Macaca fascicularis: one gene and its partners. The protein of the gene in region 6 interacts with the protein of the main gene of each other region in a pairwise test. Links are inferred from orthologs where the notes say so. Each region holds a gene or a part of one and is shown on either strand. Other genes may lie near its edges.

Region 1 (4,167 bases), about 54 Mb from region 6:
TCCGGTGCAAAAACAATATTCAAGCTTGTCTGATTATGTATATTTTCTTTAATTATATAGATTATATATACAATAGACAAGACAGAACTACAGATCATGGAAAGACGAAAATGCCCGCATTTTTAATGTGGAGAAAACGATGAATCTATGCATCCCCGAGAACACTTAAAAAAATTTTTTTTATTTCACTGGGAAATCCTTACAGCTAGTTTACAATCATAGGTTAACAGCCTAGTTATACAGAAGACATATTCCACTACAGAGCTATACTCTATGCAACTGTTTTTTCCCCTCATAAACAACCTGAGTTCAAATTGAATTCTATCTTCCACAATCACAACGGGTGCATCACCCAGTACACAGAAGTTTGAGTCACAAAACATAATTACCACAATAAAACACAGTGTTCAAGTATCTTGGCAGAGCGATCTGCCGCACAAACAGCAAATTAAATTAACTACACAGACTAAAAACTATACAGCCTACCATCAACAGTTGTGCATTATAAAAAGGTAGTTTCTTTCCTTTTCTTTTAAGTCAGGAACAGGTAGATTTTTAAAAATATATATACAAGGTAGCACACACATCTATCAGCACTAATGCCCCCCCTACTTTTTTTTTTCTTATAGAAAATGGAAAGCTTACAATACCTCCTCCATCAAAGCGGCAGGCCTACGAGCCATCCTGAACAGGGTTTGCCTTGGGGGAGATGTGGCCTGAGGTTTAGAGCCGCTTTGTGCGGGGATGGTGGAGGCTAGGGTGGGGGTGAGAGAAGAAAGAAGGCGGAAGGGGGACGGGCAGTTCTCTTTCTCTCTAGCTCACCCTTTTTTCTAAATAAACCCAAATGGCATCACTCGTCTTTTGCTCGGTCTTTGTTGATTTTCTTCATTTTCATCCTGCGGTTCTGGAACCAGATCTTGACCTGCCTCTCGGTGAGGTTGAGCAGTCGGGCCACCTCGTACCTGCGGTCCCTGGTGAGGTACATGTTGAACAGAAACTCTTTCTCCAGTTCCAGGGTCTGGTGTTTTGTATAGGGGCAGCGCTTTTTCCGAGTGGAGCGCGCATGAAGCCAGTTGGCCGCTGGGTTATCTGTGGAGAAGAGAAACACTGGGTTTAGGAGGAGGATACGCACACCCTGCTGGGGGCAAAGGAACCTCCTGGGTGGGGTCTCTGGCCGAAGTGCAGAACTCTGCTGAATTGGTTAGGAAAGGCAGTCAGGCCTCGGACACAATGGAACCCTGGCAAACAGAAGCACAGAGGGTCACTTACAATTGCACGCAGTAAAACTTCGGCTCCCCCTCCCCTCCGAGACCCTCCTTTCTCATCCTCCGTCCTCTTGTCCCCCTTCTCCTTCCTCCCACTCCCCGAACGCTGTATAGAATGAAATTTGGAAACAGATCTCCTTGCCACGCAGACGGAAAGCATGCTGCCTTGTGTCCTGTAGCAAGATTAGGATTCCTCTGTCCCGTTCACTGACTCGTCTTTCCTTCCCAACCTTTCCCTCTACGCTCTCACCCCCTACTCCTTATTTGACCTTCCTGGAAGGCCTTCGGAGCTGGGCATGCCGTCAGGGCGCCCCAAGGCCGTTGATCACGTCTGTGGCTTATTTGAATAATCTGGCATGGGGACCCTTGTGGCCCGGGTCGCTCGCGCCTTATCTTGGCAGGATTTACGCCGCCACTGGCCGAAGGCAAGAAGTGGAAGGAAATCGGCCGTCTCCCCCAGCGTCCCGGCTCCGGCTGCCCTGGCTGCCGCCGTTCACGGACAATCTAGTTGCACAAAAGGCTCTCTGGGCTGCATTGCTTTCGAAGAACGGCCCAAAGTATCTCGGTCCTAGGCCCGGGCAGCCAGGGAGAGGGGCGGCCAGTCTTGGCTCAGCCCGAAGTGCCCGCCCCGCCCCCTGTCGCTGCAGCAGCAGCCTCCTCTCCCGTAGCCCTGCGGGCCACTCTTCACGGCTCTCCGGTCTTGGGGCCCTATCTGAGGCGTCCCAAACACCAAATTCTGGCTCCTGGCCCCAACTTGAGAGGCTCCTAGCGAGGACGAAGGCACGCTCGAGAGAAAGCTGGCGGGCCAGCAGATCCGGGAGGCCGGCATGGAGGCGGTGGTGGCGGCTGATTTGAAGGGAGGAGACACTTACTGGGATCGATGGGGGGCTTGTCTCCGCCGCTCTCATTCTCAGCATTGTTTTCGGAGAAGGCGCCTTCGCTGGGTTGTTTTTCTCTATCAACTGGAGGAGAACCACAAGCATAGTCAGTCAGGGACAAAGTGTGAGTGTCAAGCGTGGGACAGTCACCCCTTCTGGCCGACAGTGGTTCAGGTTTAATGCCATAAGGCCGGCTGGAGGGCAAGCCCGCGAAGGAGAGCGCACCGGGCGTGGGCTCCAGCCAGGAGCGCATGTACCTGCCGTCCGGCGCCGCCGCCGCCACGGGCGCCTGGGGGTGCACGTAGGGGTGGTGGTGATGGTGGTGGTACACCGCAGCGGGTACAGCGTTGGCGCCCGCCGCGTGCACCGGGTTCCACGAGGCGCCGAATACTGCCGCCTTGGACTGGAAGCTGCACGGGCTGAAGTCAGGGTGCTCAGCCAGCGTCGCCGCCTGCCGGGGGGGCTGGCCCAGGGTCCCCGGCGCATAGCGGCCAGCGCTCAGCTCATCGGCGGCGTCAGCGCCCAGCAGGAAAGAGTCCACGTAGTAGTTGCCCAGGGCCCCAGTGGTGGCCATCGCCGTGCCCAGCGCCTGGCCGGCCCGGCCCGACCCACGGAAATTATGAAACTGCAGATTTCATGTAACAACTTGGTGGCACCAGGGGGGGAAGTACAGTCACCTAATAAGTTGCCGGCGCCTGCGCCCCCATTGGCCGTGCGCGTCACGTGCCCGCCCAGCAGAACAATAACGCGTAAATCACTCCGCACGCTATTAATGGCCCAGTGTTTTGCAGTCATAATTTTTATAGCAAAAGCCATATGTTTTTATGTAAAGGGATCGTGCCGCTCTACGATCGGGTTTGTTTTAATTGTGGCCAACGAAGATTAAAAGATCAAATCTAGCCTTGCCTCTGTACTCCCCCTTCCCCCCCATACACACACTTCTTAAGCGGACTATTTTATATCACAATTAATCACGCCATCAGGGAGGCGCGGGTCCCGCGTGCGAGTGCGGCCAGCGGAGCCCCTCACATAAAATTAGACAATAATTGAAGCCATAAAAAAGCAGCCAAATCGCATTCTCGCTCTACTGTATTTAAATCTATATTTATGATATTTCATAAGGAGTTATTGTTTCAGAAGCCACACAGGCTGGCGGGAAGTCGGGAACGACCAACAGATTCGTTTGCCTCGCCCTGGCTCCCAGCAGTAAAAATTTACGAGGACTTGGAAAGGTTAGACTGTTGTGTTTGGTTGGCGAGCTCCCTGTAAATAATCCCTGCGGTCCCCGGGAGAGGCGAGTTTACCCCCGGCCGCCTGCGAAAAGTCAAATTCAACGCAGGATCCGTCCCAAACGGAGCAGCCGCCGGCCCTACCAGGGCACTCCAGGCAGGGACTGGCCGCTCAGGAAGTACCGCGGGTGTAGGTCCCCACGGCTACCCGCCTGGAGCGAGGGGCGCAAGAGCAGTCCTTAAATTCGCCTTTGTTGCGAGGACCCCACTGAGGAGCTGGCCAGGAGGGAGCGGCCAGTCGCCCCCAGGGCGAAGGGTTTGAGGGCCTGGTTGGTTGTGTGGGGCGCTCGGCCCCCGGCCGTCGACCCCACGCAAACGCGCACCCAGCCCGCCCTTCTCATCAGCTGGAAATCAGGATTCCCAGGCGCAGGCGGCTGGCGACCCAGCCCTGTGTTCCAGCCTCAGAGGCTCTAACCCTGAGTGCTGCAAGCCTAGTTGAGCTCCCTGAACCCCAACTGGGGAAAAAACTCCAAGTGGCATCAACGGAAGGAGAGTTCGGCTTGGGGAAAGGCAGCCTCGCCTGAGACCCCGCGGCTCCGGCGGCTGGGAGGTCCGCACCGATGTGGCCTGTCCCGGGGCCGTGTGAGCCTTTCAGGGCTCCTTTCCCCCTTTCCAGCTAGTACTCCGGGCCTCGCCTTGGTTACCTACGGACCTGGCGACTCGGCGGAGAGGTACAAGGCCCAAAGAGAGGCAACCACAGCTCAAGGCCAGGGCTGGAAATTAGAACGGGGAGGG
Region 2 (4,291 bases), on a different chromosome or scaffold from region 6:
AAGAGCAAAACTCCGTCTTAAAAAAGAAAAAAAAAAAACAAAAAACACATAGCTAAAAAGAAATATTCATGTCAATGGATACTAAAAAAGAACAAATAACAAAATATATTAGGTTTATTGGTAAATGAAGTCCCACACCACACATATAGTAATCTTGTGAATATAGGTAACCAAAAAGCAAACTGTGAAATAAAGTGTCATTAATTTGAAATTCCACGTAGGAATTAATTAGTTCAGACAAAGCACAGTACTTATAAACAAATGTGTCAGTGGAAATTAATTTACTGGGCCGGGCGCAATGGCTCACGCTTATAATCTGAGCATTTTGGGAGGCGGGCAGATCACCTGAGACCAGGAGTTTGAGAACAGCCTGGGCAACATGGTGAAACTCCGTCTCTACTAAAAATACAAAATTTAGCTGGGTTTCCAGAAGGTTTTCAATTTACTTTGCCCATATCCATCAGAGGAATAACTATCTATAGTAGCTATAGATAGTAACAGTAAATGAGCATTGACTTCAACTTAAAGTCATCAGCTGCATTGGCCCCTAACAAGAGAGAAAGCCTGTCCTTTGAAGCTTTTTTTTTTCTTTTTTTTGGATGGAGTACAGTGGTACCATCACAGCTCACTACAGCCTTGACATCCCAGACTCAAGTGATCCTCCCACCTCAGCCTTCCAATTAGCTGGACCACAGGTGCACACTATAATGCCCATCTAATTTTTAAATGTTTTGTAGAGATCGGTTCTTGCTATGTTGCCCAGGCTGGTCTTGAACTCCTATGCTCAAGCAATCCTCCCACCTTGGTCTCCCAAAGTGCTGGGATTACACGTGTGAGTCACTGTGACCAGCTCCTTTCAAGCCAGGTAATACTTCTCCTTTCTACCTATGAAAGTCTGAGATGGCATCTTCTTCCAATAGAAGGCTGTTTCATCTGCACTGAAAATCTGTTGTTTAGTGTACCCACTTTCATTTTCTGCAGCTTCTGCATCAGTACTTGCTGTTTCACTTTGGACTTTTGTTATAGAGAAGGTTTCTTTCCTTAAATCTCAAGAACCAACCTCTGTTTTTTTTTTTTAGATAGTCTTGCTCTGTCACCCCGGCTGGAGTGTGGTGGCACAATCACAGCTCCACTGTAGCCTCGACCTCTATGGCTCAAGCCAGCCTTCCTTCTCAGCCTCCCAAGCAGCTGGGACTATAGGTGTGCACCACCACATCCGGCTAAATTGTTTTGTATTTTGTAGAGACAGCATTTCACCATGTTGCCCAGGCTGGTCTCAAACTCCTGGGTTCAAGCAATCCACCCACCTCGGCCTCCCAAAGTGCTGGGGCTACAGGCATGAGCCATTGCACCTAGCCAACATTTGCTACTTTCAAACTTCTGCAGCTTCCTCACCTCTCAGCCTTCACAGAATTGAAGAGAGTTAGGGCCTTGTTCTGGATTAGGCTTTGGTTTAAAGGAATGCTGTGGCTGGTTTGATCTTCTACTCATACCACTCAAACTTCCTCCATATCAGCTTATAACTGGAGTAGCACTTTTAATTTCCATGTATTTGTTTGTTTGATGGAGTTTTGCTCTTGCTGCCCAAGCTGGAGTGCAATGGTGTGTTCTCAGTGCACTGCAACCTCTGCCTCCCGGGTTCAAGTGATTCTCCTGCCTCAGCCTCCCAAAGAGCTGGAATTACAGGTGTGTGCCACCATGCCCGGCTAATTTTGTATTTTTAGTAGAGATGGGGGTTCACCATGTTGGTCAGGTTGGTCTTGAACTCCTGACCTCATGTGATCCACCCACCTCAGCCTCCCAAAGTGCTGGGATTACAAGCGTGAGCCACCGCGCCCGGCCCCATTTTTTTCTTCATATTCACAATTTGGCATGACTTCACATGCCTTCCCAGCTACTCGGGAGGCTGAGGCAGAATGGTGTGAACCTGGGAGGCAGAGCTTGCAGTGAGCCCAGATCGCGCCACCGCACTCCAGCCTGGGCAACAGAGTGAGGCTCCATCTCAAAAAGAAAAAAATCAAACCAACAAAAAAAAAGGAAATGCTGTCAACAGACTTGCTCAACAAGTACATGTCAGTTCCACGCTCCTCAGTCTCATAAAGTCAGGGACTAGAGACCAATCTGTAATTATCAATACGTACCTGCCTTTGAGTGAACCTTCAATGCCAACTAGGAAGGGCGCTTCCAAAACGACGTTATTTGTAACTCCTAGGAACACAAACACGGGTCAGAACTCATACTCTGCGGGCCTTGAAATGGAAAATCTCTCCTCTAGACAGACTCATCCCCGCCATAAATGTCAGGAGACTCCCCAGTTCCCTGCCCCATCCCCAGGCCAAGGAGTTATGTGCTTCCAAATTTTCATTCCGTTTTCTTCCCCAGGTGGAGAAGGCGGGAACAACCTCTCGGGCTAGCCTCTGCCTTTCCCGAACGCCTCACTGCACTCACTGGAGAAGACCACGGCCCCAAGGGACCGCGACAGGTCCCAGGCGAGGTGCACCGAGTCGGCGAGCACGGCGTGGCATTGTGCGCACTGGAAAACAGCGCACCTCTCAGGCTGCAGCCAAGACGGCAGCTGCGAGACGGCGGCCGGCTCCTCAGCCCCCAGCCCTGCGGGGCCGAGCGGCGAGGACCCCTTCACCACCTGTGTATCCCACTCCATGGAGGTCGTAAAAGATGCTTCGTCAATCGCCCTCTCAGTGCCATCACAAAAGTCACCCTGGGGCGGCGTTGCACAAGGGGAGCGATGCCGCCGCGGCTGAAACGCCATCTTCTCTCAGCCGGCGCCGTCGTTTCGAATACACGCCAGGCCCCGCCCCAAGCACAGCTCCTGCGTCCTCATTGGACATCGTGGGCAATCCAAGCACTGGAGTCCCAGTCCGCGCACTCGTTACCTGAACCGGTCTTACAGGCCCTTCGGCGCCTGCGTATTCGTGAAGTGTGAGAAAAGCGCGCGACTGTTGGGACGGGAAATCAGCCTTTCTATTGGTCAGGGTTAGAAACCCCGCCTTTGAGGCATTTTCAACCAATGGAAGCGCGGCATTCTTCATTTAAACTGTCTATAAATTTCAGCTTAGTCAAAGTTAAGAGTGGCGCCAGGGATTTGAACCTCGCTTACGAGACTTGGTGATCCATCTTCTGAGTATCGCCGGGATTTTGAATCGCGATGATCATCCCCTCCCTAGAGGAGCTGGACTCCCTCAAGTACAGTGACCTGCAGAACTTAGCCAAGAGTCTGGGTCTCCGAGCCAACCTGCGGGTACGACGCTGGCGGGGCAGTTCCCTGGGCGGGCGCGGCGGGAGTAGCGGCCTCAGGGAGATGCGGTGCGAAGGGACCGAACGGGAAGCCCGGGGACTGAAGCAGCCGTCCCTGCCCCTCGGGCAGTAGATGTGGTTCACGGTGGTCCCAGTTAGAACTCTGATAAACGGAAGAGGAACTGTAGTTTTCACCTCATTTTGAAGCTGGCTTGTCTGGGTGCTCACATGATAAGCCTCTGTTCCGAGGGGTGGTTTGTTGTTTTTCGTTTTTTGTGTTTTTTTTTTTTTTTTGAAATTACTTTATACCTCTCAGGTCATCGATTACGAAACGCAGGCCCAGAAAGCAGAAGGGGTGTCGTTAATCGTTAGACAATTAAGTAAATAATTGGCTCAGCTTCTAGAAAACCCCACACAGACTTCAGTGATTTGTAATATTGCCGATAATCTCTTGATACTTTATTGATGGACCTGTCAGGGGGAAAGAAAAAATCGACTTTTAGGGGACCACCTCCTTGGGTAAATTTTTATAACTCAGCCCTGATCTAGTATACTCATGTGCTTATTGATGACTGTTGTGGTGATGGTATCTATCAAAACCAGTAAGGTCTTTGACTCCGAGGCTACAAGATGTTAGGGGAATTGGCCGGGCGCGGTGACTCATGCCTGTAATCCCAACACTTTGGGAGGCCAAGGTAGTTGGATCACCTGAGGTCAGGATTTCGAGACCAGCCTGGCCATTAAAAAATTAGCCGGGCGTGGTGGCACACGCCTGTGATCCCAGCTACTCGCCTGTGATCCCAGCTACTCGGGAGGCTGAGGCAGGAGAATCGCCTGAACCTGGGAAGCCAAGGTGGCAGTGAGCCAAGATCGCACCCACTGCACTCCAACCTCGGTGACAGAGCGAGACTCAGTCTCAAACAAAACAAAAACAAACAAACAAACAAAAAACAAGATGTTAGAAGATTTGGGGATTCAATGTAGGATAGCGGTTTTATATATTTTGTTAATAGTTGAGACTTCCCACATAATACTG
Region 3 (4,101 bases), about 54 Mb from region 6:
CTGAAAGGAACAGTAGGTTCTGTGAATTCTCCTAAAATCAGGAGGGATGTTAAGGCCCACCAGAAAATGTGTGCTGGCACCCAATCTGGATTAAGGTGTTAACCCGGCACCAAGTCTCTGGTCCAGAATTATCTGCAAACATATTATCCTGGCCAGGAGCTCCCCAGATAGGATCAGAAAGGAAGAGACTGTAAATGGAAAGAAAGATAAGCTAAGCATGTGCTTTGGGTAAGAAGTCCCAGCCCAAGGAGATGCCTGGGCTGTGGTCTGGGACTGGAGCCGCCTTAGTGTGAGGTAGTCAGAGTGTCTGAGGTAGAAGACCCCGGGGAAGGAACGCAGGGCGAAGAGCTGGACTTCTCTGAGGATTCCTCAGCCTTCTCGTCGTTTCCTGGCGGGGTGGCTGGAGAGATGGGCAAGAGACCCTCCTTCTCACGTTTCTTTTGCTTCATTCGGCGGTTCTGGAACCAGATCTTCACTTGGGTCTCGTTAAGCTGCAGGGATGCAGCGATCTCCACCCTGCGGGCACGCGTCAGGTACTTGTTGAAGTGGAACTCCTTCTCCAGCTCCGTGAGCTGCTTGGTAGTGAAGTTGGTGCGCACCGCGTTGGGTTGACCCAGGTAGCCATACTCTCCAACTTTCCCTGGGGCAAAGTGGGAAGCCATGAGATGGAAAGGTAAAAATTTTTAAACCGACTTGAGATTACCTACACACTTCATGGCAACACTCAGGTAAAGAAAAGATCAAGAACTCAACACAAATCGGGCTGTGGAGGGTGAGTGATGAGGTGTAAAGTGTTAACCTGAAGTCAACCATTAGCGTGGTCAGATCGGTGATTAATGGAGCCTTAAGATATTAACAGAACACTACCGTCACAATAACCACCCCCACACACTTCCTACTTCCCAAATGTATAAAATCCTTGAGAACACGCCAATCCCTGAGGCTTCTTTGCCCCAACACCTCTGGGTACCCTCTCCATGCACTACAACACTAGTCTTAAAGCCTTTAAAAAAAAAGATAATTATTAATTTTCCTTGGAAATTAAGCATACCAGCTCCTTCCAGATTAATCAAGGAGCATCCACCAACCAGCAGGACTGACCTGTTTTGGGAGGGTTTCTTTTGACTTTCATCCAGTCAAAAGTCTGCGCTGGAGAAGATGTCTCCGATGCAGGGGAGCGACAGGCTTCTTGGTGGCTGGCGTGGAGAGGGGACAAGGAGTTATTATACGTAGCCAGGGCCAGGCTCTGGTGCTCTTGTCCATATGAGTGGTGAATGTACTGAGGCGAGCCCACCGCGCCCCCGGCATAACGCTGGTGGTGGTGGTGATGCTGTACCATGGGAGATGAGAGATTTCCAGAGTAAACAGCGGGAGCGCACTGGGGGTACCCACCACTTACGTCTGCTTCCTGGTTTAACGCGTAGGGGCTGTAAGGCGCACTGAAGTTCTGTGAGCCATAGCTTGGACCACAACTCGAGTGGGAGTAGGACACCCCCAGGTTCCCGGAAGTCTGGTAGGTAGCCGGCGGGGGGTGGTGATGGTGGTGGTGGTGGTGGTGGTGAGGCGAACCGATCTGCACCCCCCTGCCCACTAGGAAGCGGTCGTCGCCGCCGCAGCTGTTGGTACTGACCGCGCACGACTGGAAAGTTGTAATCCCATGGTCCGAGGGGTAGGCTTGGGCTGAGCAGGTCCCCGAGTCGCCACTGCTAAGGATGGGGTATTCCAGGAAGGAGTTCATTCTTGCATTGTCCATCTGTCACTGAGTGACCTGGTCCTGCGAAGCCCTGGGTGACCGTGCCAACTTTCTCACTTCCTCCATGGGGCCTGAGAAGAAAAATGATATGAATGTACAGTGCGCAAGAGGGGGGGGGCGGGAGGGCGGAGGACGCTAGGGGAGGGGCACGTGACGGTGTCAGCCAATGGCTGAGCCTCCTGCAAAAGTTTGCCGGCTTCCGCGGTGATGGATCACCGTTTCAGTGGCATTTAAATCCCCGGCGCTCCGCCGTCTAGGTGACGTGCAGTCGCCCCCCCAGGCAGCCCAGGCGGCGGCAGCTGCTGCGGCGACTGCAACGGCCGATTTGGAGTGCTGGAGCGAAGAAGAGCAAAGGCTGCCTTCTGCGCGCGCCCGACTCCGCTGCCCGCCCCGCCAGGCCTCCGGGAGGTGGGGGCTGAGAGGCGTCCCCCGCTCCCGCCCCCTCCCCACTGTGCACTGAAAGATGAACTGGCGAGAGGTGAGAAGGGAAGAGGGCTCCCGGCTCTCTCGGGGCGCGAGTTAGTGGGCCGGAGTTCGCCGGGTGGCCGCAGGTTCGCGGGCCCAGCCCGGAGCGCACCCAACCGGAAGGCGGGGAATCCGGCTGACACCGAGCCCCGGGTTCCCAGGCCGCCTTCTCTGCTCTGAGGCTGGGCTGGGAGACCATGGGGCTGTGAGGAGCGCACAGAACCGTGGCAGGGGGCGAGGCTGGGCCACCGGCTCTCCAAGCGCGGAATGGAGAGGGAAGAGCGCAGAGGGCTGGCTGGGAGGAACTCGGGTGGGGGTGAAGGAGACGAGGGCAAGAAAAGAAACTTCCCTTCTTCCAGGAGAGTCTCCGAAACCCTCTCCCCACAGCCCCCGCTCTTCATTAGCATGGCAATGAGGAGTTTCTGTAATTCGACCGGGGAAGGGGGGGTGCGGAAGAGCCCTGGAAACAGGGATTGCCGGAAAAGGCCGGGGGCGACCGGGCTCTTCTTCCCCACCCTCCCTCTCTCCTCGCTCTCCGCCGTTTCTTTCCCACTCAGTTTTGCAGCGGGAGCCCTCCGGGATGCGGAGCTACTCGACCGCCGGATTTTTAGGGGTAGGAGGCGGGGGAGAGAGATGACGCTGGCGGACGTGGCCAGCGTGGGGGCCGGGCCGTGCGCTGCAGGCCATCTGCCGGCGCCCGAGACCCAGGAGCCTCCGCTCCCGCGTGGGCCTCGCAGGGCCGGTCCACAGCTCCAACAAAGTAGCTGAACTCCCTTCGTTGCGTTCCTCTTTTTCTGGAGGGGAATGTTAGAAGAGAGAGAGAGCTTCCTTTTGTAACCTTCCTCATTCTGCTGCGCGTCTAGAGTGGGTGCGGGGACTGGCAGGTGGGAGGAGCGGTGGACAGATGGCTGATGGTGGACAGAACACTTTACCCCAACGACACCTCCTCCCCTTTCCAACTGGCTGGGTAGTTGCTTATGAGAACCTTCAAGTCTTTCCTTAGAGGGACACGTGAAAATCTGAGCGTCATCCCAGGCCAAGGGTCCTGTTCCCCATCACCCTCCTTCTACCCTGACGCTGCTGAGGTCGTTAATTGTTGTTTACTATTAGGTTTCACGTCAACCCTGGGCTTGTAGAGAGGAAAAAGCCAAACGGAGACCAATAATTGATGCAGTCTTGGGTAGGAGAAATCGAGAGCTCGTCCAGGAAGCTTTGCAGCCAATGCTGTATAAATTTTACTCCAACCATGTGTACAATGTTGGAATCAGATGGAATTTATAGTGAGGAATGTATGTGGGTTTGGGGTTTCCACTCCCCTTCAGCCTTTCCTCCCCTGTTAGAACAAGGAAGGTTTTTTTTTCAAGGCAGGCACATTTCAAATATGTTAGTCACCCTTTCAGTCTTCTGTATTCTGTTCTCCACCTACTGAAGCTCCCCCAAACCTGTCCCCTCAAGAGGGAAAACCCATGCTGACTCTGGACTCCCTCAGTAACAATGAAACATTCTCCCCAAACATTTCCTTTCAGGTTGGTATTTCTCTGTGACTTTGATCCATTCCAAGCATGGTTAAGAGGGAGCAGGGGCAGGAAAGAGCCGCTTCCTGGGGTTGGGCAGCCACCCCTGCCCCAGTTTCGGCTCCTGGGAATCATCCTTCTGGAGAAGGGGAAAGGCAAGGCGGTCCTCCTGGAGGTGGCTTCCTTGGGAGCGCCAGCTTCCAGCGGCAGGGAGAGAAAGAGCTCCTGTGGGGGAGTGGGCAGGATGTGAGGAGGTCGGTGCTGGCTATGAGAGCAATCCTTCCTCCAAGCCTGAGCAAGTCAGTACATTTTCCCCCGCTGCCTCATTCCTGTACCTTGGTTGCCCTCCTCAGCCTGGGTTTGCAGGAC
Region 4 (4,290 bases), on a different chromosome or scaffold from region 6:
CAGAGCCCGTCACTGTGGAGGGAGCAGAAAAGCCTGGGTCACCAGGAAGAGGAAAGGGCAGCTCCCAGGCCCTCCCGCACCCAGACAAGGCCCAGCTGATGGCTGGGGCACCCAGTCGCCTCTGCCCTGGGGACCACCCACCCACCTAGCGTGGAGGCCGCGTCTTCCTCTCGCCCGCTGCTACCTGAAGAGGGAACAGAGCTGCAAATTCAAGAGAGAGAAATCGGACCCTGGCTTCTGGCGGCTTGCCCTCCCTCCAGGTGTGTGGGCCACTTATGTGGACACTGGAATGTGCTAGGAAGACAGGGCCCAAGCTGGGACTGCTGCCCCGCCTTACCCTGACACAGACTCTGGGGACGTCGTAGGGGCGGATTCCTCTGATGGGCTCTTGTCCTCTCTGGCGGCAGGTTGGGGATGGGACATGCCTGAGGTGGGGGCAGGCGGGAAGGATGTAGAGGACTCTGGGGCAGCTGTAGGTGAGGCCTCTGGGGGTGCTGAGGTACCCTGGCCGGCTTTGGTCTGCAACAGCAAGAAAAAGGGAGCTGGCATCAGCAACCCTATCAGACCCAACAACCCGCTCCGCTGTGGCCCCGCCCTGTTCATGGCTAATCTCTCCTGGGCACACAGGCTCTTTGCCAGCTCCCCTGCTCGTCCCTCCCAGCCAGCACACGTCACCCACCTTGGTCACCATGACGACCACAAAGTTCTTCTCATCGATGCGATAGTCCCTGATAGGGACATCATCGCTCAAGATCTTGCCGGCATAGATGAGTTTCTGTCCAGCCACGGGGAAAGCATCACGACCCTTCTCAGCTTCTATCTTCTCCTTTAGCACCTTCACCTAGAAGAAGTAGTACAGACAGTCACTGGAGACCCCAAGATTCTCTCTTCTAGTTTAGGACGGAGAAGCTGCAAGCCCTGATGGCAGAGAGGCAAGCATGCTGGAATTTTTAAGCTTTCTCAGCATCTAAAGCATGCTAGATAAGAATTCATTCAATCATCATGCCATTCAACACAGTATTTATTTATACTAAACACCTATTACGTGCCAGGTGCTGTTTTAGACATGGAGGCCACAGCACAGAACATAACACAAGTCCCTGCTCTCAATGAGAGAACACTAATGTGAAGAAAATGTTAATTTCAGGTGGCATAAAGTATGATAACAGAATAAAGGGGACAGTCCCCCACTCTACACTGTATCTTGGACAATAACAGTGACTAATAGTTCACAGTGATATTTCTTTTTTAAAAGACAGGATCTCACTGTTGCCCACACTGGATTGAAGTGGCACGACCACAGCTCACTGTAGCCTCAAACTCCTGGGCTCAAGTGGTACTCTCACCCAGCCTCGGGAGTAGCTAGGACTAAAGGTGCACACCACCACACCAGGCTAATTTTAAAAAAATTTATTTTTGTAGATAAGAGTCTCCTTATGTTAGGCTGGCTGGTCTCAAACTTCTGGCCTCAAGCAATCCTCCTGCCTACGCCTCCCAAATCATTAGGATTACAGAGGCATGAGGCACCATGCCTGGCCAATAGTGCTACTGTAAGTGTGTATGTGGCATACCTTTTAAGCCTCCTATGAAATACATTTAATTGACCTCCTTTTATTTATTTTTGTTTCTTCTTTTTGTAGAGAATGGGGTCTCACTGTGTTGCCAGGATGATCTTGAATTCCCAGGCTCAAGCGCTCCTCTTGCCTCTGCCTCCCTAAGTGCTGGGATTACAGGCGGAAGCCAGCAGGCGACAGGTTCATTTGATATTTTGAGAAAACGGAGGCACAGAGAGGTTAACTTGCCCAAAGCCAAACCGTTGAGCTGATCAAAAAATGTGTGTTTCCTTTTCTACAAAAAGTGGACTTCAATGTCTCCCTCACTGTGCAAAAAGTGCCAAGTACCCAATAGTCATTATGTTTGAATTAGGTCCTAATTCTATTTTTGACTAAAAAGGCAGCATAATATTTATATAGTGGACGCTCACACGAGGCAGAACCGAATGTGAATCCCAGCTCTGACATTACATGTGTGACTGTGACAAAGTTCCTTAACCCCAAGGTTTCCACATCTGTAAAATGGTCAGAGGTCCTCAATGACAAGCCCGTTCTGCAGAGCAGTAAAACAACACTAAAACACTCGATGACTGATAAAAAATAAACGCCCAACAAACACGGACCACCAAAATTATAAAGACTGAGATCCCTTTATTATCATTAACATCGTTGTTGTCGTCACTACTCGTTATCTCCTGGTCATTACTCCTAGATTCCACCACCAGTGTCCCCAGGAGAAGCCTGCAAAGCTGAGAACGTGGAGCCCAGTCCTGGAGAGCTTGGCCTGCCCAGGCCTCCGAGCCTGTGACTCCCGCGCCCCGCGAGAGCGCTGACATTGGAGCCGGGACCTGGCCAGAGGCCCGGGGGTGGGGCCTCGCCCGGAGACCGGCCCAGGAGCGCCGCCCGATCCGCTGGGGACTGGGCTAAAGACCATCGGGGGGTCCAGGAAAGTCGGGCAGGTCGGGGGTCTGGACAGGGCCGACCCGCGCCGTCCTCCCTGCCCCTCCCGTTGGGATCCTAGTCTCCCCGCCCCCACCCCATCCCCGGCACCCGTCACTCCCGCCCCCGGGCTCTGGCCTGGCCCGCACCGTCTCGTCAGGCTCCATGCGGATCTTGAAGGTCTGCTGCTGCAGCGTTTTCAGCGTGATGGTGACGGCCATGGCGGGGCCCGAGCGACGCGGCGGCCCCTGGATCCTCACACAACATGCAACTCACGCCGCCGCCATCTTAGCTCCCAGGCGCGCCGCGCCGCGCGCCGACCACTTCCGGGGCAGGCGATGCGCGCGCTGACCACCGGCGCACGTGACCTGTGCGCACCCTCCTTGGCCTTTATGGGCATGCGCACGAGCGCGGTGTCGAGCGAGGCATGCGCAGACTAAACTCCGCGTTGTGGGCGTGGGCGGGGACGGGGCTTCTCATTCTGCCAGCACACGAGATCTCCAAAGTGACGCCATGCCCGTTAGCGGTGACGTCACGGGAGTGCAATGGCGCGATCTCGGCTCACTGCAACCTCTGCCTCCCGGGTTCCTGCAGTTCTCCTGCCTCAGCCTCCCGAGTAGCTGGGATTACAGGGAACCCCCACCATGCCCTGATAATTTTTGCATTCTTAATAGAGTCAGGGTTTCACCATGTTGGCCAGGCTGGTTTCCACCTCCTGACCTCAGGTGATCCGCCCGCCTCGGCCTGGCAAAGTGCTGGGATTACAGGCACGAGCCACTGCACCTGGCCCCGAGTTTTATTCTGGCAGATAGGGCAAAGTGGAAGTTACTCAAGACTAGAAATACCTGAAAGGCCACCAAGCAGAGGAAAAAAACCTTACATTGGTAGCAGGGGCAAGGTGCCATTTTGTAGCCTCATTCATTCTTTAGGGATCCGGATTTTTGGAATGAACCTACTATTTTAATTCCTGGGTCTCCCGCCAGGAGTACTTTGTTGTACTATCCCCAATCTGACCCCAAAAGTATTTAAAGATGTTAACTTTCAAAGCCTCACGACATTAAAAACAGAATTCTCCCTTGGATCTGCCAGTCCTAGAGGCATCCCAGAGGGGTTGGGCTGAGCCACAGGACCCCAAAGGAATAGAAGCATGAAGAAGGCCAGTTTAAGAGGCAGGGTAAACCAGATTAAGCCATTGTAGGCCAGCCTGGGTAACAGAGCAACAGTCTATCTTAAAAATAAAACCAATAAACAGAACCAAAACTTACCAGTTAGGTTCAAGGATTCAGTAAATTAATATGTGGAGTATTTACGGCAGCAACAGTCATTCCCCCGTTGGTTTTGAGGGTTATGGGGTAAATACGGGTCCCTGGAATCTTGTGGAACAGTCAGTAACCTCTCTAGCAACAGCTGAAAAAGGAGATATACTGGAAACCCTCCCCACCCCCAAAAAGACCACTGCTGGGTTTCCTGAAGTCTGTCTTTCCCCAAAAGGAGACACAGGAGGGAGACACAAAACTTAATTTAATAGAAATTTTGTTTGTAGTTCTTACATTCTCAGTGTGAGCCAATCTGGGACCCACTGCCCCACCCAGAAATGGCCCAGTCCTGGGGGCAGGGGAGAAAGGGCGGGGTGAAATGAGAAGAGCCCCATTCTTCCTCAGTGCTGGGGGATTAGAGACACCACCCCCTTCTCCTGCCCCCCTCTGGGCTCCAGGAAGGAGAGCAGATGAAATTTCAGGCCTGCAGCTTCTCCACACCACTGCCCCCCAGGTTGGAGGGGAGCTAAGAGATATGGTGA
Region 5 (4,192 bases), on a different chromosome or scaffold from region 6:
ACCTTTACATGTTAAAATCAGGGCTACTGGTGCAGGAAGGAAAAGAAATGGGTAGCCTTAGTCGAATAAGATGCCAATAAAGCCCGCGAAATGCCAGTCCTCCCAGATACCTCACTGACCCTCACTGCTCAGAGGTCAGGCGCCGGGCCAGGAATGGTAGAACCTGGCCAGCTTGAACCCTGTGGAATCTTCTCCCTCAACTGTCCCTCTCCAAAGAGCAGCTCCAGGCACAGTGGCTGCCACCGTTCAAGTTCTAAAAAGTTCTACCTTTTCTCCATGTCCAGAAAGTTTTCTACATATTTAGTAAATTTTCGAAAGACGTGATTGTGTTTTCTGCCCTAAAATTGCTGTTTTCTGGTGTGTGTGCTAGGATTGAGTGGGGGTGGGGAAGCCGACCTGAGAACTATTCGGGTATAATAAATTACTATAAAGTGATTAGCCACCTTTACAGCCACTCTCTTTTTTTTTTTTTTTTTTTGAGACGGAGTCTCGCTCTGTCGCCCAGGCTGGAGTGCAGTGGCCGCATCTCAGCTCCGCCTCCCGGGTCTACGCCATTCTCCTGCCTCAGCCTCCCGAGTAGCTGGGACTACAGGCGCCTGCCACCTCACCCGGCTAGTTTTTTGTATTTTTTTTAGTAGAGACGGGGTTTCACCATGTTAGCCAGGCTGGTCTCGATCTCCTGACCTTGTGATCCGCCCGTCTCGGCCTCCCAAAGTGCTGGGATTACAGGCTTGAGCCACTGCGCCCGGCCTACAGCCACTCTCTAAAACATATGCCATCATAATTCTCCCGAGTCTCAGAGAGGTTAAGTTGCTTGCCCAAAGTCACACAGCAGGGAAGCAGAGCAAATGCCAAGGAACCATTTTTGTGACAGTTTAGCAGGTACCCGGCACTTTGCCAGGTGATTCCCATATGCATTCCTGCATTTAGCCCGTACAGAAACCCCACAAGCTGTTCTCATGCCCATCTGAAAGATAGAGAAAATGAGGCTCACAGAAGTGAAACATCAGCCTAAGCTTTGAGAAAGTTCTCAAAGGATTCAGAGCCAGGTGGGGGGTCTGACAACATCCTGTCTGGCTAGGGAGGGGGCGGACCGGGAGAGGGTGGGGCTGGGTGGGCCCCTTCACACCTGTGGCCCCCAGAGCAAGGTGTTGGTTGCACTTTTCCGATATCCAGCTCCAGCCCATTTGGCTGAGAAACAGGCTGCAGGGATTGGGAAGGTGTCTGCTTTGCTCATCTGCTTAGCTGATGAAGGAACGTTTCTGCCAAACATTTCCAGAGAGCAGGCCCCTGAACTTGAGCTAGAAGTTAGGAGACTCGGGGCCTCAGTGTCCACAACTTTGCGAATGAGAACAGCAAGTCCCAATTCACAAAGCTGCCACAGAAAGCAACGGTGGGGGCGCCTGGAGGGGCACTTACCAGTGTGGGTCCGGACATGGCCTTGTAGCAGCCAGGGCCTGGAGAAGGCCTTCCCGCAGGTTCCGCAGACGCAGGGCAGCGTGTGGCTTCGGATGTGCATCTTGAGGGCACCCAGGCTGAGGTATTCCTTGTTGCAGTATTTGCAGTTGAAGGCCTTTCGAGACTGGAGATCCTTGGCCTCAGAGAGCTGGGCCAGCTGCTTGGGCACTTGGCCCAAGCCTGGGAAGGCAGCATAGGCCTCAGCCTCCAAGGAAGAGGCTGAAGTAGAGGAGAAGGACGAAGTAGCCGGTGAGGGTGGGCTGGGAGGCTGGGAGCCTTTCCCACTGTCCTCGTCCGACAGGGAGGTCAGCTCTGCCGCCCTGGGACTCTCCTGGGGCCGAAGGGAGGCCCAGGCAATTGGCTGGGCTTGGGGCGCCAGGACAGAGTCCCAGATGAGCATTGGCAGCGAGGCGGTGGGATTGAGGATCTCTGGAGGTGGGATGGCTGCCAGCAGGTGGGCCTGGTCGTAGGGCTGCTGGAAGGTAAACTCTGAGAGAGAAAAAGCAGAGTCAGGCGTTAATTAAATCATTCACTCAATCAACAAACATGAACCCACCGCTGGCCAGGGGCTGGGTAGGGCTGATTCTCAACACATAATTAGATCAAAAAAATGATCCACAGGACAGACCAGGTTCCTGCCCTCCTGGCCCAGGTCACCCAATCTGAGTCTCTCACAGGTAGGACCCCCAGTTGAAGGGGGTCATTTCCAGATCTCCCTCTCCTAAGTCCCAAGTCCCCAGCCTGAGGCCAGAACCCCATCACCCCAGCCCTGGAGCCACCACCCTGCCCCAATCCCCCTCCTCACACACATCTCGTCTCCCCACCCCTCCCCTCAACCCTCTGGACTCCGGACTCTCCCCAGCAGCGTCCAGAGGGCCTTCCTGACACAGGCCTCCTCTCCCACTCTCGCGGAGCTCCTCCGCCTCTCGCCGGCTACACAGGCCACCCAAGCACAAAACCCCTGCTCTCTACACAGCACTCCCCCAACCACCCAGACCGATCCCCAGGACTGGGGACCCACCTGCCCGGTCTCCCGAGCCCGAGCCCGAGCCCGCAATGCTCCACAAAACACCCTGTGACTCGATCCTGGCTCAGACAGGCCGCCTCCCTCAGGTGGCCCCCACGCAGCCTTCGCCTGTCTCCCCCAAACCTCCTGGAGCCCACCACCCCTCCAACACACCTGGATTAGAGTCCTGCAGCTCGCTGTAGTTAGGCTTCCGATTGGGGTCGGAGGGCTTTCTGACGAGGAAAGAGCGCGGCATGGTGGCCGAGGCACTGGGGTCGCCGAGTCGCGCAGGAGCAGCGCAAACGTACCACTCACAAGGCCGGACCGCGGCGCAATGAGAGCAGCCGCGCCGCCAACTCCCTTAAATACTCCAAGGGGGTGGGAGGGGAGGGGCCTCATCTGCCACGCCCCTTTGTCACCTCCGCGCCAATCGGAGGCCCGTCTCCGCCGAAGGCCACTCCCCGAGCAGGTGCGCCGGGGGCTGGCCGGGCTCGCGCCGCGTGGCGCTGGGAGCCCGGGCGGGGGCTCCTCCGAGGCGGAGTTCGCAGGCGCAGCGCGGGTCGTCCGTGGTGCTCGGACTGTCCGGGGCGGGACGTCGAGCGAAGCGAGGCCCCTGCGAGGTGGGACCCCGCCAGAACGCCGCGCGCCCACCTGCTCAGCGCCCCGTGGTCGGAGCGCTTCTGACGCCCCCTGGCGCTGCGCGCGGGCCGGGACACCTGACCTTCCGACGCCCGCCCCCGCCTCGGGCTTAGGAGGGGGCGGAAATTTCCTCCGCCCGGCTGGCGCCTGGAGAGCGTGGCATTGACGAGGGAAATGCACATTGCTGGGGAGGAAGCGAGGAAACGGACACCGCACGTGGCTCCTGGCGGCGTGAAATGCTACGGCCGTTTTGCAAAGCAGCCTGGCCCAGCTAGCGAAGAGCGCCCGTTCCTTCCCTTAGCCAGTGTTTGCGGAGGGCCCAGCTGTACCTGGGGCAGGGCACAGCCCCGGACAGGACATTCAAGGCCTCTCCCGAAGGGTAGCTCCCGGTCCAGTGGGGGAGACAGACGAAGTAAACAGACAATTACAATGCAAAGGGAAGTGTGCTTTGGCGGGGGAGAGACGGGACGCAGCGACCGTTAAGAGGCGGGTCACCTGACAGGGGGTCGGGGTGACTTCCCAGAGGAAGTGAAGAATTATCAAGGGAAAAGGCCCGAGGGAAGAAGTGGCAACTGCTTCAGAGTAACTCCTAGAGAGCAGCTCTCAGGGATGGCGTGGGGTGGGCAGGCCCGGAGGGGTCAGATGTGCTGTGCCCCAGGGCCTCGTAGGAGGTTGGACTTTGCCTCAAAGGCACTGGGGAGCCACCGAAGGATTTTCAGCTGACGAGGGACCTGGTTAGAGTTTCGTAGAAAAAGATCCTTGTAGGCCGGCGGGAGAAAGAAGGGATGGGCCGGGCGTGTCTCCTCACCCCTGTGAAGATCCTCGATCCTGTGTCTAAAGGCTCTAACGTTGCTCTGTAGGGGCCCTGACTGAATGCATGTGGGGTGGGCCCAGGTGAGGGGCAGCTGCACCCCCACCCCAGCTTCCCTGGGAGGCATACCAGGCCCGGGAGTAGCGCTGAAATAAACCTCACAGGTCTCACCGTTCTTGTTTCCACCTGTGAAGGAAGACTAGAAAAACCTATAAGCACCCCACACCACCACCAGCAACATGAAGGGCAGAACTACTGTCTGTTTTGGTCACTTGGTG
Region 6 (4,006 bases):
GGATCTTCCTGTGCCTGGGGCCTAGGGAGGCGCCTGGGGCGGCCGAGGGGCGGCTGCGGGCACTGCTGAGCCAACTGAGGATCCGGGCTGAGGTGCAGGAGGTGGTGTGGGGCGAGGGGGCTGGGGCTGGGGAACCCGAGGTGGAGGAGGAAGGGGACTTTGTGAACAGTGGGCGGGGAGATGTGGAGGCAGAGGCCCTGGCACGCAGCGCCAACGCCCTGGTTCGGGCCCAGCAGGGGCGTGGCACAGGAGGAGGGCCGGGTGGGCCGGAGGGTGGGGATACCGAGGGCCCCACCACAGCCCTCACCTTCCTGTACTTGCCTCGGCCACCCGCCGATCCTGCCCGCTACCCCCGATACCTGGCGCTACTGGAGATTCTAACCCGAGACCTGGGCCCCACGCTGCTGGTTCATGGGGTCACCCCAGTCACCTGCACTGATCTCTGATGCCCCTGCCTCCAGGGCTGGGTAGAGAGGGCCCAGGCAGGTGGCCCATCCCGATCCTGAGGAGGAGGAGGAGGAAAGCACTGTGTCCCGTGGCCCTGCCCTTGGGACGTGGAGCCCAGGGGAGGTTTGAAGGGGATCATGCCACCTCCTTTGGCAGAGGGACTCCAGCACACTAACTCTGGGCGCCTGTCCCCACCATGCAGGGGAGGGAGTCCGCAGCCTCCCTTCACTGGTGCCTTGATGCTAGGGGCCAGGCCTCCGTGACTCTGGGCTACCTCAGTTTCCCCATTTTGGCCAGACTCACCGGCCCACTGGGGTGGTGATGTTTTTGTTCTGTTTTATTTTTCTAACTCTGCTGACCATGAATAAAAGACCAAAACACTACAGGCTGGCTGAGCAGTGCTGGTGGGTAGCTGAGAGGGAGCGGGTGGGAAGGGAGAGCTCTGCAGAGGGGTGGAGATCGGAGCCTTCAGCCTCCCGCAGTGAGGCTGCCACGTGCAGGGCTGGGGCGCGGGGCCTGGACGCATCCGTGGACTTGGAGGCTGGCCCGGGCCTGCACCTCCCATCCCCAGCTGCCCGCAGCCCCCAGTGACTTGGGCTCCCCGGGAGAGTCCTCCCCTCTCGGCAGGAGGGGGCCGACTCGGGGAGAAATGGCAGTTTAGGGCCTCGGGGGCCACGTGACCCTCCCCCAGGAATGTGGTGACGTCATCGGGGGCGTGGTCGTCCCCAAAATTAGGGAGGAAGAGGAAAAAAAAAGACAGAAAAAGTTTTCTTTTCTGGAGTCCCAAACGAGGTGCGGGACGGAAGAGGGGTTGAAGGCCAGAGGCCCGAGGCTTCAAGACCGCTGTCTGGAGTACCCCCGTTCCAGGCCATGTCGGGGCCCACCTGGCTGCCCCCGAAGCAGCCGGAGCCCGCCAGAGCCCCTCAGGGGAGGGCGATCCCACGAGGCACCCCGGGGCCTCCACCGGCCCATGGAGCAGGTAAGGCAGCCCTTGTGAGACAGAAGAGCTACCCGGCTGTGGCGCTCACCTCTGTCCTCCAGCTCCAGCCTCCCGCCCTGCCTGCTTCCTCTTACCCCTTCCCCAAGCCGGGGGGAACAGCCGCCTGCGCTCTCTTGGGACCCTAGATTTGGGGGAGGAGGTAAGGAGGGGCAAAGAGGGCAGCTCCCCAAATGCACACCCCTCCTGTCCTCCGCCACCCCACCTTTGATCTCTCTTCCCTCAACCCAGCACTCCAGCCCCACCCCAGGGTCAATTTTTGCCCCCTCCCATCTGAGCAGTGTTACCAGGCCCCAGGGGGACCGGAGGATCGGGGGCCGGCCTGGGTGGGGTCCCACGGAGTACTCCAGCGCACGCAGGTGAGAACTGGGATTGCGGGGTGGGATGTGCGGCGTCCCTAGAACCGAGTCTGGGGGACCCAGGACAGGAGAAGGCCTATGGTGATTTGCATTCTTCCCTGCTCTGGCTTCATCCTCAGGGGCTCCCTGCAGACAGGGGGGGCCTTCGCCCCGGAAGCCTGGATGCCGAGATAGACTTGTTGAGCAGCACGCTGGCCGAGCTGAATGGGGGTCGGGGTCATGTGCCACGGCGACCAGAGCGACAGGTGACTCTGCCCCTCCTCCCCATCGGCACCCTGTCCCCTTCTCTGGACTCTCAGACCCAGCCCGACCCCCCGATGTATGTGATGTGCACCTCAGCATGGAGGAAGCACGGCTGCAAGTACCAACATGTCAGCCACTTGAGGACGGGACCTTGCCAAATGCAAAAGCCTGTGCTTCCCCACACCCAGGGTCATTTCCACAAATGTGGGTCCTGGAGTGGGGGCCTTGCTTACGGCTTCTGGCCTGCGTTTCTCCTTAGGCATACGAGCCCCTGCCACCTCCTGCCTACCGCACGGGCTCCCTGAAGCCGAACCCAGCCTCGCCGCTCCCAGCGTCTCCCTATGGGGGCCCCACTCCAGCCTCCTATGCTACTGCCAGCACCCCAGCTGGTCCGGCCTTCCCCGTACAAGTGAAGGTGGCACAGCCAGTGAGGGGCTGTGGCCCACCCAGGCGGGGAGCCTCTCAGGCCTCTGGGCCCCTCCCGGGTCCCCACTTTCCTCTCCCAGGCCGAGGTGAAGTCTGGGGGCCTGGCTATAGAAGCCAGAGAGAGCCAGGGCCAGGGGCCAAAGAGGAAGCTGCTGGGGTCTCTGGCCCTGCAGGAGGAGGAAGAGGAGGCGAGCACGGGCCCCAGGTAAGCCCTGGGGACCTGGGATTTCAGGTCCTACAGGCAATGGGACACTGATTGGGTGGGATGGCTGGTGGTGTTTTAGGGGGCTGGTTTTTTTTTTGAGACAGAGTTTTGCTCTTGTTTGCCCAGGCTGGGGTGCAGTGGTGCCATCTTGGCTCACTGCAACCTCTGGCTCCCGGGTTCCAGTGATTCTCCTGCCTCAGCCTCCCGAGTAGCTGGGATTACAGGCATGCGCTGCCACGCTCGGCTAATTTTTGTATTTTTAGTAGAGATGGGGTGAGCCACCACGCCTGGCTAAGGGGCTGGTTTTGGAGCAGAGTCAGAGGTCTGGGATGTGGAACAGGTAAGGGCGGGGCCGTGGTATGGGGGAGCAGGATAGAACTGCTCACTGGGGCCAGGTACAGTGGCTCACACCTGTAATCCCAGCACTTTGGGAGGCTGAGGCGGGTGGATCACCTGAGGTCGCGAGTTTGAGACCAGCCTGACAAACATGGAGAAACCTTGTCTCTACTAAAAATACAAAATTAGCCAGGCATGGTGGGGCGTGCCTGTAATCCCAGCTACTCGGGAGGTTGAGGCAGGAGAATCGCTTGAACCTGGGAGGTGGAGGTTGCGGTGAGCCGAGATCGCACCATTGCACTCCAGCCTGGGCAACAAGAGCAAAACTCCGTTTCAAAAAAAAAAAAAAAGAACTGCCCACGGGCCCCTGGGCTGAGATGTTCTCAGATGAGCTTTCTAGCTGGAATTGCCTGGCCACCTTCAGGGACATTACAGCAGTCCCCAGTCTTTTTGGCACCAGGGACCAGTTTTGGGGAAGACAATTTTTCCATGGACTGGGGAGGGCGATGGGAGGGGGATAGTTTCGGGATGATTCAAGCACATTACATTCATTGTGCACTTTATTTCTGTTATAATAATAGAACATACAATATATATAATTGTTTCATTATATATTACAATGTAATATATAACAACGTAATATATAACAACGTAACATATAACGAAACAATTATACAACTCATCATCATGTAGGATCAGTGGGAGCCCTGAACTTGTTTTCCTGCAACTAGACAGTCCCATCTGGGGGTGATGGGAGACAGTGACAGATCATCAGGCATTAGATTCTCATAAGGAGCTCACAAGCTACATCCCTCGAACGCACAGTTCACAATAGCGTTCACACTCTTATGAGAGTCTAATGCCCTGCTGATCTGAGAGGAGGCGGAGCTGAGGTGATAATGCAAGTGATGGGGAGTGGCTGTAAATACAGATGAAGCTTTGCCCATTGCTCACCTCCTGCTGTGCAGCCCGGTTCCTAACAGGCCATGGCCT
Region 7 (3,990 bases), on a different chromosome or scaffold from region 6:
ACGAGGTCAGGAGATCGAGACCATCCTGGCTAACACGGTGAAACCCCGTCTCTACTAAAAATACAAAAAACTTACCCGGGCGAGGTGGCAGGCGCCTGTAGTCCCAGCTACTCGGGAGGCTGAGGCAGGAGAATGGCGTGAACCCGGGAGGCGGAGCTTGCAGTGAGCTGAGATCCGGCCACTGCACTCCAGCCTGGGTGACAGAGCGAGACTCCGTCTCAAAAACAAACAAACAAACAAAAAAAAAAACAAAAAACTTTGCTTTGTCGACACCAGCCTGGCCAATATGGTGAAATCCCATTTCTACTAAAAATACAAAAAATAGCCGGGCGTGGTGGTGGGCGCCTGTAGTCCCAGCTACTCGGAAGGCTGAGGCAGGAGAATCGCTTGAACCCAAGAGGCGGAGGGTGCAGTGAGCCAAGATCGCACCACTGCACTCCAGCCTGGCGACAGAGCGAGACTCCGTCTTAAAGAAAAAAAAAAAAAAAAAAAAAAAACTTCGCTTTGCTTTCCCGCCTTCCAAGAGGAAGGGGCGCATCTCCGAGGAAACAAGGCCGGGGAACCCGCGGCTCGCACGGCATCCTCTCATCCACACAACCCGAGGACAGCTCCCAGGGGACGGCGGACCACGGTCAAGGTCCTCTTTTCGGCCCTTCACAACTCCAAGCTCCGCCCTACAAAACCCCCTGCAGTCCTACCAAGTCACTCCCATGGCGTCGGGCCAGGAAGGCGGCCGGATCACACGGTAGAAACGCAGGGTTCCCTATCCGCCCACAGAAACTGCTTCAGTTCCCCAACACAACCTTCGGTCTCGGAAGAGACTCCGGAAATACGTAAAAACAGAGCGCCGGGTCCACGCCTTCCCCAAGGAGTGGGGCGGGTCTCAGGGCCCCTCGGTGACACCTCTAGTGACATCATCTGCGGATTCCCGCCCACAGGTTTCTAAATCCAGACATTCTCGTTTGGCTGAGCACTCTAGGCCTAGACCCATGAAGCTAAGAGCGACACTCAAAGACTGCACTGTTGAGAGAAGCTAACGTTAAAGGCTGTAAATATATTGGGGAGTCCAGCACCGGAACCCGGGAGCTCTTTTAGTGGGAGGGGCGGCGCTGATGGCGCTTCTGGCCTCCGAATGCTAGGGGGCGCTGTGATCGCCGCGTGGCCTCTTGAGAGCCGGGAGTCCACCGCGCAAGCGCAATCTGGCTTTTTCGCCGTCTCCACGTGCGAACCTCCGCGGCAACGTTTTCGAGAAAAATGCCCAAATTGAAGGCGGCCCGTGGGGTCGGGGGTCAGGAAAAACATGCGCCCCTGGCCGATCAGATCCTGGCTGGGAATGCGGTGCGGGCAGGGGTCCGGGAGAAGCGGCGGGGTCGCAGGACCGGAGAAACGGAGGAAGAGTATGTGGGACCCCGGCTGAGCCGGCGGATTTTGCAGCAAGCACGGCAGCAACAGGAGGAGCTCGAGGCCGAGCATGGGACTGGGGACAAGCCCGCGGCGTCGCGGGAACGCACCACGCGGCTGGGTGAGTGTCTGGGATGAGATCCGAGGAAGACAGTGGCCAGTAGTGGGGCGGGGTGGACAGCTAAAAAGTGTCTGGCAGGGGAATTGCTTCGAGTCAACAAAGGGTCCGTATTACACTTGCAAAAGTAATGGAATGGGAGACTGAACCCTGTTCAGAGCCCTCCGCGTCCACTCCTAGTTTTAGGCACTCCCTTCTACACATCCCCTAAGTTAGGCCAACAGTAATCGCTCGCTCCACCCTAGCATTTATCCATTGGTTTTGTAAATATATATGGGATACCCACTACGAGCTTTGTACTATGCTCGGAGTTCTATCGAATGTTTGGGTACAGAAGTAAACAACATAGGCACGTCTGACTTAAGGACCTTACAGTCAAGCCCAGTAGAGAGTCAATTAAGTAGACTCTTAGAATAATATTTTTCTATGATAAAGTGTCGCTTCCCTGGTAACAATAGCATTGGTCTTGAGAAGCTTCTCCGATTGCAGCAGGACCTTTTAAGTTGAGAACTGAAAAACGAATGGGAAGTGTTATGAGCAGAAAACACATTGTTTAGCAGCCAAAGAGGGAGAGAGATGAAAGACGTTTGATATTTTCTCGCTAGGGAGGGAGTGTTGACCTCTGAGATGCTTCATCCGTTTTCCAGATCTCATCTAAAGCAATATTTGACGCAATTGAATAGTGGCCTCCTGGCCACAGTATCCTTACTTGGGTTTTAAGACATCAACACTCCTGTTTTACTGCCACCTCACTTCTCAGTATCCTTGACTGACTCTTATTGCAACCTCTTATCCTCAGTCCTCTGACCTCTTCAAATATTCTCTGGTGCTGGCAAGTTTCGTGGTTTAAATACCATCTCTTGGGTGACTACTCCTAACTTTATAGTCTAGCCCTGACCTCTTCCATGAAATCCATATTCTTATATTCAACTGCCTATTTGGCAACTCCAATTTAAAATCTGACAGCTCAAATTTAACATGTACAAAACAGAAATCTTGACCTCTCCAAACCTGCTTCTCTCACCATTGTCTTCCCCGTCAGTAGCGTATTCTTTCATTTGCTCAAGACAAACTTTAGACTCCTGTATTTCTCTCTCCCCCTCTCTCCCTCTCTCCCCCGCCCCATCTCCTCTCTGTCTCTCCCTCCCCACATCTGATCTGTAAGAAAATTCTGATGACTCTGCCTTCAAAGTATATTCAAAATCAGACCACTTTTCACCGCTTTGGAACACCATCCTGTTGAAGCCACCACAATCTCTCACCTGGATTATCACAGTAGCCTCCTCGTTAGTATCTCATATTCTCCTTTTTTTCTTTTTCTTTTTTTTTTTTTTTTTTTGAGATAGAGTCTCTCACTCTGTCACCCAGGCTAGAGTGCAGTGGCACAATCATAGCTCACTACAGCCTCAATCTCCTGGGCTCCAGCTATCTTTCCCACCTCAGCCTCCCACATAGCTGGGACCACAGGTGTGTGCCAGCATGTCCAACTAATTCTTTTTTTTGTTGTTGTTGTTCTTTTTTGAGACGGCCCAGGCTGTAGTGCAGTGGCACGATCTCAACTCACTGCAACCTCTGCCACCTAGGACCAAGCAGTTCTTCTGCCTCAGCCTCCTTAGTAGCGAAGATTACAGGCATGAGCCATCACATCCAGCTGATTTTTGTATTTTCAGTAGAGATGGGGTTTCACCATATTGGCCAGGCTGGTCTTGAACTCTTGACCTCAAGTGATCCGCCCACCTCAGCCTCCCAAAATGCTGGGGTTACAGATGTGAGCCACCTCACCCAGCCACTAATTCTTTAATTATTTGTAGAGATGAGGTCTCACAGTGGTGCCCAGGTTGGTTTCAAACTCCTGGGCTCAAGTGATCCTCTCTTCCTTGGCCTCCCAAAGTGCTGAGATTACAGGTGTGAGCTACTGCACCCTGCCATATCTCATACTCTCTACAAAGCACTCCACAGGTAGGGGATTACAATGGTCTACAATGCACTTTATGATCTGCCTCCTTTACCAGTCTGACTTCTACTGCTTTCCTCTGCGCATTCCACTCCACCTATACAGGCTTCATTGTGCCTTAAACATGGGAAATTAGAGCGTTTGGCCTGGTTGTTCCTTCTCTCTGGGATAGTTTGTTCTCATACACTTGTAGGGTTACTTTCTCAGAGAGGCCTATCTACTCCATTTACGATTGCAGCACTCTACTCCATCTCCATACTCCCAATATTTCTGCCCTATCTTTTTTCATAGTACTTTTTTTTATTTTTTTTTTTTGAGACAGAGTCTCGCTCCATTGCCTAGGCTGGAGTGCAATGCTGTGATCTCGACTCACTGCAACCTCCACCTCCTGGGTTCAAGTGATTCTCCTGCCTCAGCCTCGTAAGTAGGTGGGATTACAGGCGCCTGCCACCACGCCCAGCTAATATTTTTTTTTTGTATTTTTAGTAGAGATGGGGGTTTTGCCATGTTGGCCAAC

Evidence for each region.
Region 1: the proteins of TRIP6 (region 6) and HOXA9 interact in binary tests that used the Homo sapiens proteins (3 or more experiments, as listed by UniProt). The two-hybrid records come from large-scale screens. The link is inferred for Macaca fascicularis from reciprocal best matches to the Homo sapiens genes TRIP6 and HOXA9.
Region 2: the proteins of TRIP6 (region 6) and OIP5 interact in binary tests that used the Homo sapiens proteins (3 or more experiments, as listed by UniProt). The two-hybrid records come from large-scale screens. The link is inferred for Macaca fascicularis from reciprocal best matches to the Homo sapiens genes TRIP6 and OIP5.
Region 3: the proteins of TRIP6 (region 6) and HOXA1 interact in a two-hybrid assay, tested with the Homo sapiens proteins (2 studies listed by BioGRID and IntAct). The two-hybrid records come from large-scale screens. The link is inferred for Macaca fascicularis from reciprocal best matches to the Homo sapiens genes TRIP6 and HOXA1.
Region 4: the proteins of TRIP6 (region 6) and RAD23A interact in binary tests that used the Homo sapiens proteins (3 or more experiments, as listed by UniProt). The two-hybrid records come from large-scale screens. The link is inferred for Macaca fascicularis from reciprocal best matches to the Homo sapiens genes TRIP6 and RAD23A.
Region 5: the proteins of TRIP6 (region 6) and SNAI1 interact in binary tests that used the Homo sapiens proteins (3 or more experiments, as listed by UniProt). The two-hybrid records come from large-scale screens. The link is inferred for Macaca fascicularis from reciprocal best matches to the Homo sapiens genes TRIP6 and SNAI1.
Region 7: the proteins of TRIP6 (region 6) and BYSL interact in binary tests that used the Homo sapiens proteins (3 or more experiments, as listed by UniProt). The two-hybrid records come from large-scale screens. The link is inferred for Macaca fascicularis from reciprocal best matches to the Homo sapiens genes TRIP6 and BYSL.

The regions. Positions count from the first base shown.
Region 1 is NC_088377.1:103,107,515-103,111,681, reverse strand, and holds the start of HOXA9 (homeobox protein Hox-A9), read right to left. Parts: upstream 2,801-4,167; 5' UTR 2,718-2,800; coding exon 2,138-2,717; intron 1,090-2,137; coding exon 851-1,089; 3' UTR 1-850. UniProt on the Homo sapiens protein: Sequence-specific transcription factor which is part of a developmental regulatory system that provides cells with specific positional identities on the anterior-posterior axis.
Region 2 is NC_088381.1:17,880,752-17,885,042, forward strand, and holds the start of OIP5 (protein Mis18-beta), read right to left. Parts: upstream 2,801-4,291; 5' UTR 2,771-2,800; coding exon 2,449-2,770; intron 2,209-2,448; coding exon 2,142-2,208; intron 1-2,141. Other genes in the region: NUSAP1 (nucleolar and spindle-associated protein 1), read left to right, coding at 3,167-3,259. UniProt on the Homo sapiens protein: Required for recruitment of CENPA to centromeres and normal chromosome segregation during mitosis.
Region 3 is NC_088377.1:103,176,221-103,180,321, reverse strand, and holds the start of HOXA1 (homeobox protein Hox-A1), read right to left. Parts: upstream 2,801-4,101; 5' UTR 1,970-2,800; intron 1,848-1,969; exon of another isoform or gene 1,825-1,847; 5' UTR 1,754-1,824; coding exon 1,102-1,753; intron 641-1,101; coding exon 285-640; 3' UTR 1-284. UniProt on the Homo sapiens protein: Sequence-specific transcription factor. Regulates multiple developmental processes including brainstem, inner and outer ear, abducens nerve and cardiovascular development and morphogenesis as well as cognition and behavior.
Region 4 is NC_088393.1:13,343,611-13,347,900, reverse strand, and holds the start of RAD23A (UV excision repair protein RAD23 homolog A), read right to left. Parts: upstream 2,801-4,290; 5' UTR 2,714-2,800; coding exon 2,642-2,713; intron 842-2,641; coding exon 680-841; intron 520-679; coding exon 338-519; intron 202-337; coding exon 146-201; intron 13-145; coding exon 1-12. UniProt on the Homo sapiens protein: Multiubiquitin chain receptor involved in modulation of proteasomal degradation. Binds to 'Lys-48'-linked polyubiquitin chains in a length-dependent manner and with a lower affinity to 'Lys-63'-linked polyubiquitin chains.
Region 5 is NC_088384.1:106,067,382-106,071,573, reverse strand, and holds the start of SNAI1 (zinc finger protein SNAI1), read right to left. Parts: upstream 2,801-4,192; 5' UTR 2,721-2,800; coding exon 2,639-2,720; intron 1,948-2,638; coding exon 1,420-1,947; intron 1-1,419. UniProt on the Homo sapiens protein: Involved in induction of the epithelial to mesenchymal transition (EMT), formation and maintenance of embryonic mesoderm, growth arrest, survival and cell migration.
Region 6 is NC_088377.1:49,460,017-49,464,022, forward strand, and holds the start of TRIP6 (thyroid receptor-interacting protein 6), read left to right. Parts: upstream 1-1,206; 5' UTR 1,207-1,317; coding exon 1,318-1,426; intron 1,427-1,675; coding exon 1,676-1,803; intron 1,804-1,922; coding exon 1,923-2,048; intron 2,049-2,305; coding exon 2,306-2,677; intron 2,678-4,006. Other genes in the region: SLC12A9 (solute carrier family 12 member 9), read left to right, coding at 1-446. UniProt on the Homo sapiens protein: Relays signals from the cell surface to the nucleus to weaken adherens junction and promote actin cytoskeleton reorganization and cell invasiveness. Involved in lysophosphatidic acid-induced cell adhesion and migration.
Region 7 is NC_088378.1:129,646,089-129,650,078, reverse strand, and holds the start of BYSL (bystin), read left to right. Parts: upstream 1-1,190; 5' UTR 1,191-1,254; coding exon 1,255-1,522; intron 1,523-3,990. Other genes in the region: MED20 (mediator of RNA polymerase II transcription subunit 20), read right to left, coding at 699-712. UniProt on the Homo sapiens protein: Required for processing of 20S pre-rRNA precursor and biogenesis of 40S ribosomal subunits. May be required for trophinin-dependent regulation of cell adhesion during implantation of human embryos.